Ovis aries: one gene and its partners. The protein of the gene in region 2 purifies or fractionates together with the protein of the main gene of each other region. This does not show direct contact. Links are inferred from orthologs where the notes say so. Each region holds a gene or a part of one and is shown on either strand. Other genes may lie near its edges.

Evidence for each region.
Region 1: the proteins of VAPB (region 2) and PITPNM1 purify together in Homo sapiens (affinity purification with mass spectrometry; 5 studies listed by BioGRID and IntAct, counting the BioPlex papers as one, with this or other methods). This does not show direct contact. The link is inferred for Ovis aries from reciprocal best matches to the Homo sapiens genes VAPB and PITPNM1.
Region 3: the proteins of VAPB (region 2) and FAM83G purify together in Homo sapiens (affinity purification with mass spectrometry; 3 studies listed by BioGRID and IntAct, counting the BioPlex papers as one, with this or other methods). This does not show direct contact. The link is inferred for Ovis aries from reciprocal best matches to the Homo sapiens genes VAPB and FAM83G.

Annotation. Positions count from the first base shown.
Region 1 is NC_056074.1:41,789,852-41,793,894, reverse strand, and holds the start of PITPNM1 (membrane-associated phosphatidylinositol transfer protein 1), read left to right. Parts: upstream 1-1,243; 5' UTR 1,244-1,421; intron 1,422-2,330; 5' UTR 2,331-2,371; coding exon 2,372-2,449; intron 2,450-3,892; coding exon 3,893-4,043. UniProt on the Homo sapiens protein: Catalyzes the transfer of phosphatidylinositol (PI) between membranes. Binds PI, phosphatidylcholine (PC) and phosphatidic acid (PA) with the binding affinity order of PI > PA > PC. Regulates RHOA activity, and plays a role in cytoskeleton remodeling.
Region 2 is NC_056066.1:57,608,559-57,613,580, reverse strand, and holds part of VAPB (vesicle-associated membrane protein-associated protein B/C), read left to right. Parts: intron 1-648; coding exon 649-729; intron 730-2,511; coding exon 2,512-2,688; intron 2,689-4,987; coding exon 4,988-5,022. UniProt on the Homo sapiens protein: Endoplasmic reticulum (ER)-anchored protein that mediates the formation of contact sites between the ER and endosomes via interaction with FFAT motif-containing proteins such as STARD3 or WDR44.
Region 3 is NC_056064.1:33,980,534-33,984,786, forward strand, and holds the start of FAM83G (protein FAM83G), read left to right. Parts: upstream 1-1,453; 5' UTR 1,454-1,491; intron 1,492-1,948; 5' UTR 1,949-2,040; coding exon 2,041-2,547; intron 2,548-4,253. UniProt on the Homo sapiens protein: Substrate for type I BMP receptor kinase involved in regulation of some target genes of the BMP signaling pathway. Also regulates the expression of several non-BMP target genes, suggesting a role in other signaling pathways.

The DNA of each region.
Region 1 (4,043 bases), on a different chromosome or scaffold from region 2:
GCCCCTGCACTGGAAGCATGGCATCTTAACCACTGGCCCACCAGAGAAGCCCACACAGTTCATAGTTTCTCTGAGCCTGGTGCCTCTGCTAAGCCCGGGCGGGCCACGAAGAAAGGGAAAGAGGAGACTCGGAGGGAGATGGTTGGGTACAGTGAGTGGGAGGGAGGCCCACTAAGCCTAGCTTTGCCTTGCCTCCACAGCCCATTGACCTTGAGTGGGACCCTGCCCTTCCCTGGCCCTCGGCCTGCCAGCTGTTTGTGGAAAGAGTTGAACTCCAATAGCTGAGTGCCCTGCCCTCCTTCACAAGATGCCACCAGGGGGCAGCACAAAGCCTGGGCTGCTTCCACAGCTGGAGGGCTCTGTCTCCAGCCTGAACCTAGAGGGTTCTTTCTCTGGACTAAAGGTGCCTGGAGGGTGGAAATGCCAGTTCACTTAAGCCCCACCCTCGCATGCCTTAACACCCTAACATCCTAAGCTTGGAATCAGCCCTGGGGCTCGGAATACACCCTATCTCTGAGTCCTAAGAGGAAGGAAAAGGAGCCGAGCTGCTTCCCCACCCCTGGGACCTGAGAAACAGTCGAGAGAGAACTGGTTTCCCCAGTGTGGGTGAGACCCTGTGCGGTGCTGCCTTGCACCGACCCAGTGCCTCTAGCCAACTGGGTGCGGTCCCAAGAGCCCAGCCCTAGGCCCTGGCAGCCTTTGCCCACGATCTGGGCGCTATTGGCCAGACTTGTGAACCCGGAAGACACAGGTGGGGAAAGCTCTGGGGCCCCGTTCAGGGAGGAGCCCCAAGACTGGAAGTGAAAGTGACTGCAGCCCTCTGAATGACCTGGCGGTCTGGGACACCGGAACCCCACCGGCTAGGCCAGTGATGTCAGAGACCAGCCGCTGGCTAGACTTGGGACGGGAAGGCGTTTCCCCCACCCTGGGCCCCGGATTCCCAGGGCCCGGGAAGTTGGGGCTGAGACTCTTGTCATATTTCCATAGCACACTGGAGGGCCGGGCCAGGGTGGAGGAAGGATCCCAGAGTGTCTGGGGATCCCAAATAACACGGCCGGAGTACGCAGCGCCAGCATTTGGAGAAGGGCCTCTTCCCCCGCCGCCGTGGGGAAGGAAGGAAGGTTGAGGCCGCCCTCCGCCGCCGTGGGCGGGGCTGCCCGGACCCCGCCGGGGTGGGTAGGGCCGCGCGCCCAGGAAGGGGGCGGGGCGGCCGCAGTGACGCGGCGGGCGGCGGGGAGGGACCGGAGGGGTGCCGGCGGGCAGACCGGGAGGAAGGTCGGGGCCATGGGCCCGCGCTGCGCCTCCAGAGGGTCCGGCCACTGCTGGAATCCGCGGCCGGGGCTGGAGTCGCTCGGGGCTCCAACCCGCGGCCCGTCGGCCCCCGCCCGTACTGGGTGAGGGGCGTCCACCCTAGACTAGAGGTGAGCCGGGACGTTGGCGGGCGGGCCGATCGAGAGCACGGCGGGCGACGGGGACGCCGGGGAGCAGAGGGAAGTGGGGGCAACGGGGCCTCTCGCTTGCTCAGTGGGTGCGAGGTGGGGGTACGGCGGCAGCGAAGTCGGGGCGCAGGTGGACGGAGCAGCTTGCAGGGCGGGGGCCCGTAGGGTACTTCTAGCTTGAGCCTGAAGAGTGTGGTCAGCCCTGGAGAAGGAGGATGAGGCAGCTGCATAGACGAGTGCCGGGGGTCCAGGAACGATGCGGGGAAGGGGGAGTTGGGGACTGGGCTGCCCGCCAGGGTGGGGAAGACAGGTCTCGGGGCGAAAGTGTTATCTAGTCTTTGAAGGTAGTTTCGGGTGCAGGGGGAGGGGGGCGCCCGGGGCTGCTCCGCGGAGAGACGCGGGGGACAAGGTTCTAAGTGGACGTCCAGGAGTGGGGACACGGACCGACTCGGGGAAAGGGATGCAGGGGGCGGGCCCCGAGGGGCCGGTGGTGGAAGGCGGCCCGGAAGGAGGGGCCCCGGGGTTTCCAGGGGCGGGTCCCCAAAGGATGCTGTTCCGAGGGGCTTAGGACGCCGCCGCGGCCGGAGAGGCGAGGCTGGCCCGCCAGCCCGCCGGCCACCTCCCGCGGCTCCTGGGGGCCCGCGTCAGCGCGCGGTTGCCATGGCGATGGGCGGGCGGGGGGCGGGGGCTGCGCGGAAAAGAGGTCAGCGCTCAGCCTCTCGGCGGCTCCCGGCCCCCCGCGGCGCTGGCTGCAGAGCTGGGCTCGCCGCTGCCTGCCCTGTGGCGAGCCCGGGCATGGGGTCCCCGCGCCTGAGCCCCTCGGCCCGCGCGCAGGGCTCGGGGCCGCGCGCCGCCGCCCCGCACTGACGGCCGCGCGGTGCCCTGCGCCAGGAGCCGCGGAGGCCGCGCGCGGCCGGCCGAGCGCTTTCAGGATGCTCATCAAGGAATACCACATCCTGCTGCCCATGAGCCTGGACGAATATCAGGTGGCCCAGCTCTACATGATCCAGGTGAGGGCGGTGGCAAGTAGGAGGCCGAGGAGGGGATGGGAACATGCTTCATGTTGGGTATCCGCAGGAGTGCGCAGGCCACACCTGGGATAAGGGGCCGGGCTCAGCTCAATCCCCTGCCAGTCCAGCCCCGAGGCTTAGGAGGGCTCAGGCCAGAGCAGAAGAGAGCGCGTCCCCAGTCGGATGTGGGGGAGGGGTGGGGTGATTAAGGACCGTGCGAAGAGGGACCGAAGGGCCTGGTGGTGCCTCCCCGAGTGCCCAGCCCCTGCTGAACGCTCAACCCCTATCTGATCTCCTTTAATCCTCCTTAGAATCCGTAATCCTCAGCGGGTAGGGAGAGGAGCGCATGAGGAGTCAAGAGTGGGGGGCAGAAAGTGAGGAGGGGTCCCAGGGGGTAGAGAAAGACTAGGAGAGGTTTCCCAGAGGGTGAAGGAACCTGGCCACCCCCAACGGTCAGGGAGATGGGCTGAGGCTCAGGGCCGGAGGCTGTCAGAGGAGCAGGCAGGGACCCCAGAGGGTGAGATCTGGGCTGAGAGGAAGCATGCAGGGAGTCAGGCTTGGGAGGAGAAGCTAGAGCCAGGGCAGGTGCCCATTTCAGAGGCGTCCCCTGAAATGTGGGACCAGAATCTGAACAGGCAAGAGGGTTGGGATCTGGCCTCAGAGGGTTGGGTGGGCCATGTTCAAACTCCTGAGCTACATAAGGACAGGATCTGAGTGCTCTCCAACTAGGAGGGGTGTGGCAGGAGCTGGTATTGGGGTCCTAGAAAGGCGGGTATCCCTTTTACTCTCCTGATTCTTCCAGCCTGCCCACCCTGGCCCCTTGCTGGCAGGGCATGCAGCTTGTCCCCCTCAGGAGCTTACACGGGCTCTCTCTCTGCTTGAAACACACTCCCACCCCATATCTGCCCCGCACCCTCCTTTTCCCCCCAAGTCATCTTCAAATCATGGTCATGTTATCTTTTCAGTGAGGCCTTTCCTGACCATCCTATCAATACTGCAACCCCCAACTCTATCCACCTAACCCTAGTCTATGCTTTCTTTTTACCACAGCACTTAGGACCCTCTAAGATGCTTTTTTTCTGTTTTCTGTCTACTGTGTCTCCTTCCGCTGGAGTGTACAGTTCCACAAGGGCAGGCAGGGGTCTTTACTCTGTACATCACCAGATCGCAATGAATATAAGCCCGGACAGTGCCTGGAATAGAGCAGACAGCAAATACTTGAATGACTGAACAAGTCCTGGCTTGCAGAACCCCAGAGGGGACTGGTCAGAGGCTATAATCCTGACCCCAGTAGCTATAGGGGAGCAGGTGGAATTTCAGAGAGCTAGAAAGGCTGGGACTCAGGCCTCAGAGCTGCGCTGGGGATGAGGCCTAAGTGGGGAGCCCGTCCCAGGAATGGAGTTAGGACTGAGGTGCCTATCCTCCTCTTGCCCTGGGCTGCAGAAAAAGAGCCGAGAGGAGTCGAGTGGCGAGGGCAGTGGCGTGGAGATCCTGGCCAACCGGCCCTACACGGATGGGCCGGGTGGCAGTGGACAGTACACGCACAAGGTATACCACGTGGGCTCCCACATCCCAGGCTGGTTCCGGGCGCTGC
Region 2 (5,022 bases):
TGCTGGTTTATTCTATAATTCTCAGAACATCTGGGATTCCTGTTCTCCTCTGCCAAAACGAGGAGCAGTAAGCCAGGAGTGCCTCCTCCCAGAACATGGATTTAGTCAGGAACGTGTTCCTCCCAGCAGGCTGAGGGAGTGGGGTTCAGCCCAGACAGTAGGGGTCACAGAGAGTGGCCTTCCCATTCCCATGCCCTGCTGGTAGTTGGCAGTGTTCTAAAATCACCTCCAAGTAGTATGGGCTTCCGCTTAGAAAGACATGCCCTGCTAAGTAAGTTGTATTTTCTTAAGGAGAGCCCAGATGTCCTTAGGCCATCCGGATGCAGGCTAGAAGACTCCTCTGGGTCCAGTGATGGTCTTCTCTGTCCTGTGTGCTTTTCACAGCCTGGTGACAGGAGCTCTGGTGGACACAGAGGAGTCAGGCAGCACGACTGGGGCTGGTGAAGAATAATCAATATTCAGGGGAGCTGGTGTATTTAATCTTGTCACGTTAAAAATATTGAAATCTCAGCAGACTTAAGTTCTTTATTTGATGTACATCAGGGCTTTCTCATTAAGCGTATTTTTCTGAAATTGTCAGTTATAGGAAGAAAATCATTCTTCTAGCAGCTTTATAATATCCTGATTATTGAATTTAAATTGTTTTAGTGGAAGGAGGCAAAACCGGAAGACCTTATGGATTCAAAACTTAGATGTGTGTTTGAATTGCCAGCAGAAAATGATAAACCAGTAAGTATGTTTATAGTTAACAATAATTGAATGTTGCAAGCTGATACTTATTTGCATACCATCTCCTGCAAAACCAAGATTTAAGTTGGCAAATTATTTTCCTTCTTCTGATGTATGAAGAGAAAAATTCGCTGAAGTCAACAAATAAGTGGGCCTTTGTGAAATCTGCCTTTGAAAGATTCACAGAAAGAACTCATTGAAATTTTTTTTGCCTTTGAAAAGCACAACCTGTTGACTGTTGAAATGTCATAAATTCCGAAGAGCTTCTTTGACTTGGGCAAAGTTCTAGGTTGCTATTATATTTAACAGTGGGAAAGACGGTGAGCGCTCAGCTCCTCTTGTACAGTGCTGTCTGCAGGCTTCCCTGTCTGCATTTCTCCTGAGCACCAACTCTCCACCTCTTGAACCCCAGATTCTCTTCAGTCAAAATGTGCTTTTAGATGAGGATTTCTCACCCTTAGCCCTGCTGACTTTCGGGCCAGGAGTCCTTCGCTATGGTGCTGTCCTGTGCCTTGCAGGGTGTGTTGTGGCATCCTTGACCTCACCCCAGTAGCATCCCTGGTCGTGATGACCTGAAGCGTCTCTGGATGTTGCCAGGTATGCCCTTCCCGAGGCAGAGTCAGTTCCCGTTGAGAATCACCCTTTTTGCTGCCTGAGCACTGAGGGTAAGGAGTGACTCCCTCCCAGCTGCTGGCTCACTTTTCTCTGTGTGAAACCAAAGCATGAGCCCGGTTGGCATGAACCTCCCTTCACCCTAGTCAAAAAACTTAAACTGTGTTAACACAGTTTAAAACCCATGCAGAGTATTAAACCACCCTGGCTGTTAATAGCTGGTGGTGGGAATAGAAATGTTCAAACTCTCAACGTTATCCATAACAATCTCCAGGAATGCTGATGCTTTGTGTCAAAACTACTTAGCATTTTTTTTCTGCTCACTAATGGACCACCGTCACTATCCCATTTCTTCGAATGATTGGTGGTCTTCGTTCCTTTTTTCCCTTCCCTCTTCCCACAGCATGTTCTGTCAGTTGTGGATAGTTGAGGACTGTATTCTGGCCCCAGCTGTGCTCTTGGAGGTTAGCTCTGTGTGTTGAGGTCTTGCTTGCCAGGGCCTCACTCCTCTCCCCTGGGAGACTAAGGGTAGAGCTCGCTGTTCTCCGTTTGCTGCATGGACCCCCAAGGGCTTCCATGCTTCCCCGGCCCCCACATACTCACTCATCCCCAGTAGGTCTTCAGAGGGGATCACAGCGCAGTCGTGGCTGGGGAAGTGAGGAACACATTGCCTCCCCAGGATGAAATACCATAGACACTGAATTTGTTGCACCTTCATCCCATCGCTGCAGTTGTCTTAAGTTCAGGAGACAAATCACCCTCTGGGTTACGTCCCCTCTGGCCTTCTGCCCCCGCCCAGCCAGTTTGGGGGATGTTCGCGTCTTCATAGTGACTTGTGGCTGATGATTCCTGAGCTTGTGCAGCTATGCTCTGCTGATTTTTCATGGCAGGAATTTGATAGTGCAGTGCGCACAGCCCCTTTTCTCTTTCTTTGAAGTATTAGTCTCAGCCGGACTTCATTATTTGCCCTCATCCATAATTTCTGGAGCCCAGTTTTAGATTATGAAGATACTAGGTGATAAAGTGATCTGTTTTAAAAAAATGTGACATTGTACAGTTTGGATGAAACGCTACCCTGGGTGGTGTCTGCTGAGACCTACTTTACTTTGCATGAAGAAGTCCTTTAATACGTGGTTGGTGACACTTGGGCTTTCATTTATTTCTGAACAGCATGATGTAGAAATAAATAAAATTATACCCACAACTACATCAAAGACAGAAACACCAACGGTGTCTAAAGCTCTGAGTTCCTCCTTGGATGACACTGAAGTTAAGAAGGTGATGGAAGAGTGTAAGAGGCTGCAGAGCGAAGTCCAGAGGCTGCGGGAGGAGAACAAGCAGTTCAAGGTAATGGCATTTTGTTTCCTGATCGTCTTCAGGGAATTGGGGCTTTGCTACTATGGTCTTGGGTGAGGAGGTTGATGCAATTTGTGGAGTTGTCTTGTATTTGCACGTTTTTCCTCCAGGCTGAAGTTTCCTAAGGTTCTCAAAACAATCCCTGGACACATGCCTACGTGCATCCCAAAGTAAGAACCAGTGTCCCTTGAGCAGTATTTTTTCAACTATTTAAACTCCTGTCTCCTCATAAAATGACAACAGACAAATAAAAAATCCATTAGTGTAAATTGAAATTAAAAAAACAACAATGGTTATCTTGAGTTCACATTTTCAAGCCCCTTTTCCATCCCCATTGGATGAGAATCTTTTTGAAGAGAGTAAAGACTGACGTGTATTCTGTTTTAAGGCAATCATCATTCTGATTTTTGAATATCCTAAATAGGTCTAGCAGTGGGGTCTCATCCTCTATCAGTATGGTCCGGAGACTGGAGCTGGGATGCTGTCACATCCATGGGGGAGATTACAGGGAACCAGGGGCTCCAGCTTGTGGCCCTGGACCTGGCGAGTGGCCTGGCGCTGGGGGGTGAGGTCGCACTGGTGCTGGAGCGAGGCAGGTGTGCTCCTCTTGGCTTTGGAGGCCTGCGGTAGTGTGGAAATGACCAGCCAAACTTGGACTCACTGTGTAACTTTGTCCATCACAGCGGCTTCTGGCCTCTGTTTGCAAGACCCTGTTAAGGCCCTTCCAGTGTTGAAAGTATGCCTTTCATACACAGGGTTAAAGAGAGTGTTTCTGAACATCTGATTGTAGGATCTTTTGTTGCAGCTTAAGTCTTGAGGCTGATCTGTTCTTTTCATCTTGATCATGTCCCCAGCCACCATAGACTGTCACTCCCTGACTGCGTAGCACCAGGTACACACCATAAATTCACTGCAGGTGACTCTTCCTTCTGTTACTCTGATGAGGTAGGAGACATGGGGGGCCAACGGGGTTTAGAAAGTGGCATCCTTGTCTTTCTCTGCAGTAATCATGCTTTGCCTCATTCAGTGACTGCTGTTGGTATGGAGTAAATTATGAGGCTGACACTCTACTTTTGGCTAAAAGTCTAAGATACGCCTAAAGCTTCTTCTTGAATGTATTTCTCTTCTTTGCCATTTAAAGTGATAAATAGGTGGAAATAGCTTCTATATAAACCCAATAAAATAAATGCTGTACTTTGCTGTGCCCATTTTTTTTTTTTTTGAAGTTAATCGAATAGCACCAGTCATTTATCAGCATGCAGCAATATTGGCCATGCCCCTCAAGCAAAGTGTCTTTAAAATATTATCAGACCAGTCTTGACATTAGAAGATTCTTTATCTTGCCAAACAAGGATTTCTTGTTTTGTGTTGTTTCATACTTTCATTTGGCCACACATTTGCTAAGACCCTCCTGTGTGCCCAGCACTGTGGGATACAGACGTGGGTGGTCCCTGCCCTTAAAATAAGCCCCAGGGTAGCCGGGGAGACACAAATACTGAACCAGTCCCACAGAGGTGGCCATGAGTGTTGTGAGGGGTGGGCTTAAGGTGCTGGCTGCCTCTTGTCATCAGATCTGTCAGACACTTGATTAGTGTGAACGAACTGAAGGAGAAGAGAAGAAAGTGCAGCTGTTGTGGAGGGTGTCAGGGGTGGATTGAGGGTAATTAGAACAGGAAGGCCTTGATGCATGCCCTATTTGGGCTTGTGAAGAAAGGAAAAGTGTCGATTCTCACAGGTCTGTGTAGGTGGGGAAAATGTCCAAGTTATCTTCATGTGTATGAAAAAGATTGTTTCTTCTTTGGTAGAAATTCCATGCATTAAGTAGAAAATATTTGAGACGTGTATATCCAGTTCAGTTATACTTTGATATTACAGACATCCCATTTTCAGTCCAGCAGTCTCCGTGTAACTCACCAAGTATCAACCATGGACAGAGCTCTACATTTAAAAGCATGCAGGTCCCCTACTCGGTCATTTCTTGGGATTCTTTTCTGTGAAGAACTTTTTTCTATAAATCTCAGAGAAACGCATTAGTGCCCTGCTCAAACAAAGGGACCAGCAGCACTGTGGTGGATGCTTGGAAGAAGAGGGGCCTCAAGCCAGTCTCTTCTGTAGGCTGTTTCTCCATTTGCAAAATGAGGAGGTGGGGACCATTTCGTGTGATGGAGTCAGGGCATAACTCCCTGCCCACCCCCCCCCCCCCAGCCCCCGCCAAACCGCGGCTAAGCTGTACTGCTGCCTTCCACTTCTGGTGCTTTGGACTGTCTTTGAAACGTGTTTGCTCCCCTAGGAGGAAGATGGACTTCGGATGAGGAAGACAGTGCA
Region 3 (4,253 bases), on a different chromosome or scaffold from region 2:
GCTCTCTGGCTGTGGTTATCGCACAGTGGTTACACAAGATGGCACCACTGGGGGAGACTGGGTGAAGAGTGTCTGCAAGCTCTCTGTTGGCTTTTCAACAGCTTCCTGTGATTCTAAAATTATGGGCAGGTAACTGGAGGGCTGGAGGCCCTTCAGCCCTGAGAGCCAGGACTCCCTTCATGAGCCCAGGGCCTCCGAGCAGGGGAAGAGCAAAAGGAGATGCCGAGGCCCAGAGACAGTCTTGTCTGGGTCCCCAGCTGCAGAGGCCATTAGCCAGGCTTCAGGGCTCCCAGAGCCGTGCTCACCCCGGGGGCACCTCCCTCCCAGTCTGACTGTGTGGGGTGAGGGTGGGGAGGCAGGTGTGTGTGCACCTACCTGGGAGGTGCTGGGGGCACCTGAAGGGGCACCGTGTTCAGACACAGTGTGAAGCCCCCGGGCCAGGGCAGAGGGCAGGACACAGTGATGGGAGCACAGAGACACTGGGCCGGGAGGCAGCACCACTGCTGAGGGGCCCAGGGCAGATGGCCTGACAGGCAGACAGGGTGGGAGCGGGTGGAGAGGGTCCTGAGGCCGGTTTTCTAGGGCCCAGGCCTAGAGATGTCAACAGCCAACCCTCTGCATCACAGAGCAGTGTCCTCAGCGCCCCAAGCCCAGCGGAGCACAAGCAGCCGGTGCATGGCTGGGAGGGGGTGGGAAGGCTGGGCCAGATGCCTGGCTGACTGGCTGTGGCACGCGACGGGTGGGGGTTGTGGTTGGTGAGGTTTAATGGGCTTTGCTGTCCCCACCCTGGCAGCCTGCCTTCAGATGTGGTCCCCACGCACCCCCGTCACCAGGGTCCCAAGCCCCAGGGACGCAGGACAGAAAGCTGGGCCTGACCCCAGCCCACAGCTGCCCTCTCGGGCCCTCCTCGCCCCAGGGCCTTGGCGCGGTTCATCATGCAGGACCACTCCTGGGGGTTGGGGGGTGTTGTTCTCAGCAGGGAGCCAGGGCTGGGACCTAGAACTGGGTGCCTGCCCTGTCCACGCCGGGCTGTGGGAGGGCCCCTGAGGCTGGGTCAGAGCGGCCCAGCTCCTGCCTCAGAGGCTCCCAGCCCAGCACCCCAACTCTCCTTCCACAGCGGGTGAGCATCTGTGCATGCTTTCTGTCCCACCTGGAAAACTGGAAACAGTCGGGTTGGACCAGGATTACCAGCAGTGTGGGGGCGTGTCAAGGCTATCGCCTTGCTGTGTGTCCTCAGGAGAACACTGTCCCTCTCTGGGCCGCAATGGCCCAGAAGCGCTTGGATTTTGGTCCCTGAGCGGTTCAGAATTCCGCCATCTGGGGCCGGTGGCGGCGAAGACACTCGCACACCCGCCAGACGTCTGTCTGTCGGGGGTGGGGTGAATGTTTCCGGCCCCGCCCCCGGCCGCACGTGACCGCAGGTGGCGGCAGCGGGGTGGGCGGGGCCGCACTTAGTCACCGCAGCCAGCGCCCGCGCCGCCCGCGCGCCCGGTAAGCGAACCTCGGCCCGCGCCCCTGACCCCCGACCCTAGGCCCCGGGGAGACCCGCCCGCTTACGCGCCGGCCTGAACCTACTGCGCGCAGACCCCAAGGGGTGCCGATCGCGGCGCTGGGAGCTTTGGGGGCCCCTTCCCACCCCGGAAGCCCTGGGGATGCGGGGCGCCGCCGAGCAGGGCCAGAGGTCGTCGGAGAGCAGACTTCGGACCCTCCTTCTTGGGAACTTCTGGGGAGTCCCTCGCCGCCCCTAGTTCCCCCCAGAAGTCGCCAGGACCTTGGCAACTCCAAAAATCCCCCGGGAGGCGGGCTCCCGCCCCCGCCCCCAGCAGGTACCGGCACCCGGGCGGGAGGCGTGCGCCCCCGCCCCCCGCCGGCCCCTCCTCGGCGCGGCCGCCCCTCCCCGGCCCCGCCTGCACTCTGACCCGACCCTGCCGGCCCGCCCCTCCCGCAGGTCCCGGGGCAGAGGAGCGGCGGCGGCCCGAGGCCCCAGAGCGCTCAGCGCCCAGCCGGAGACGGCCCGGAGCTGCGGAGCGCGCGGCCGCCATGGCCTTCTCGCAGGTGCAGTGCCTGGACGACAGCCACGTCAACTGGCGCTCCAGCGAAGCCAAGCCCGAGTTCTTTTACAGCGAGGAGCAGCGGCTGGCGCTGGAGGCGCTGGCGGCCAGCGGCCGCGACGCCTTCTACGAGGTGCTGAAGCGCGAGAACATCCGCGACTTCCTCTCGGAGCTGGAGCTGCGGCGCATCCTGGAGACCATTGAGGTGTACGACCCCGGCTCCGAGGACCCTCGCGCCGGCGCGCAGCCGCGCGGGCCGGAGGATGGTGAGGCGGCCAGCGCGGCCGAGGGCACCCCCACCGAGGCCGAACCGCTGCCCTCGCTGGAGTACTGGCCCCAGAAGTCGGACCGCTCCATCCCACAGCTGGACCTGGGCTGGCCCGACACCATCGCCTACCGGGGCGTGACCCGGGCCAGCGTCTACATGCAGCCCCCCATCGACGGGCAGGCCCACATTAAGGAGGTGGTGCGCAAGATGATCAGCCAGGCCCAGAAGGTGAGTCGGCCGGCCAGAGTCCCCAAGAGACGCAGCCGGGCAGGCCTGACCTGTCCCGGTGTCTCAGGCGTCCACACGGGTGCACTCAGCCCAGCCCGGGCTTTCGGCTGCCTGTTGGGCCGCCTCCCTGCTGCCTTCGCCGGCATCCTCGGTTTCTCTGCAGAGCGGGCACCTGGATCCCCTGTCCGCTGACAGCAGGCTGCTCTGGCTCAAAGGATCTTTGTGCATCGTTGGGGGGTGTTTCTGACTTCCTCAGACTTGGCGAGGAGGTTCCCCAGAAGAAGGTGCTTGGGTGGGGCAGGAAGGATCACAGGGCTCCCCTCACTGTCCGCCGGGATGGCTCTGAGAAGCAGGAGGTTCCTGCGCACACGTGCTCCCGAGTGCTCTGGTGTTGCTTTTATGGATGGTGGAAACAGTCTGGGACCTGGGGTAGGCATGGAGACTGAGAAGTAGCCTGAGGCTGGCCTGGAGATCCAAGTTCAACTGTGCCTTTTCCCTTGCTGTGCTGGGTGACTGAGAGCAAGTAGCTCTCCCTCTCTGAGCCTCTTTGCAAGCTTTGCAGTGGCAGAACCTTCCCAGAGTGGGAGGTGGGGACTGGTGATGGTGTGTTCCTGGGGGTGGAAGCAGAGCAGGTCCCAGTGAGGGTTGTCAACCTGGATTGAAGGGACCTCAGGCATTGTCTGGACCTCCCTCGGAGCGACCCCAGCCGAGCTATGCCTTGTCCCGCTGTGGATATCCATTCAGCTGACACACTGACATACCTTCTGAGAAGGGATTTCTCCACTGGCAGGCAGCCAAGCCCTTGCTGGATAGCCGTGACCATAAGCGGGGCCTTCTCTTGCTTCCATGGATTTCAAGGCACATTCTGAGATGACTGATAAAGCCTGCCTCATGAGCAGGGTTGAGGATTCAAAAGCCAGCTCTGGACTCAGTAGAGAGGAGTAAGTGATCAGCAGTGCCTGTTCTGGCCTTGGCCCGGCAGGGCAAGGTATTTCTAGCTGAGTCGAGCCCCTTCACTATTCTGGGCCCGCTCAAAACCTAGACAGTGGCCTTGGGGAATCATCCTGGCTGACAGGGCCCAGGGGAGCTTTTGGGCAAAGAGACCAGAAGTGGGTCAGGCACTGACAAGCTGGCCATGGCTTAAGTTTCTGGAAAGGTGGAGTCCCTGTTTCCTGAGGGGGCTGGCAGGGTCGGATAGCCTATCTTGGGGAACCTGGCTCTCGGCCTGATCCCAGGCAGCTTTGGGGCTTTGGGTTTCTGCTCTGTGAAACGGAGGTGGCGGGGATGAAAGCCGTGAGGATGGAGTCGGGTGTCAGAGTGAGGAAGAGGTGGGATGGAGGAACCATCAGTTTTCAGACTGAATAACCTGCTGTGGCGGAGGGGGGTGCTGCTGGCGTGGGTGCCAGGCTTGAGATCGTGGATCCCAGTTCCCTAGGAGTGCCTGTTGGATCCCATTACCCAGCCTCCACCCCCTTTTTAAAAATGGAGAAATTGAGACCCTGGTAGAGGGGGCTTGACCTGCCGTGCTGGGGCGCCTCTCCTCCCCAGTAGAAGTAGGAAAGAGGTAGATCCCAGAGCCCAGACTGCTCAGGAACAGCTGAAAAGTCTTATCACCCCAAGATGGAAAGACAGATGGCCAGGTCCAGACAGGGGAGCCTGGGGCCAGGCTGAGCACCAGGGCCTCCTCCCTCCTCTCTTGTCTCTGT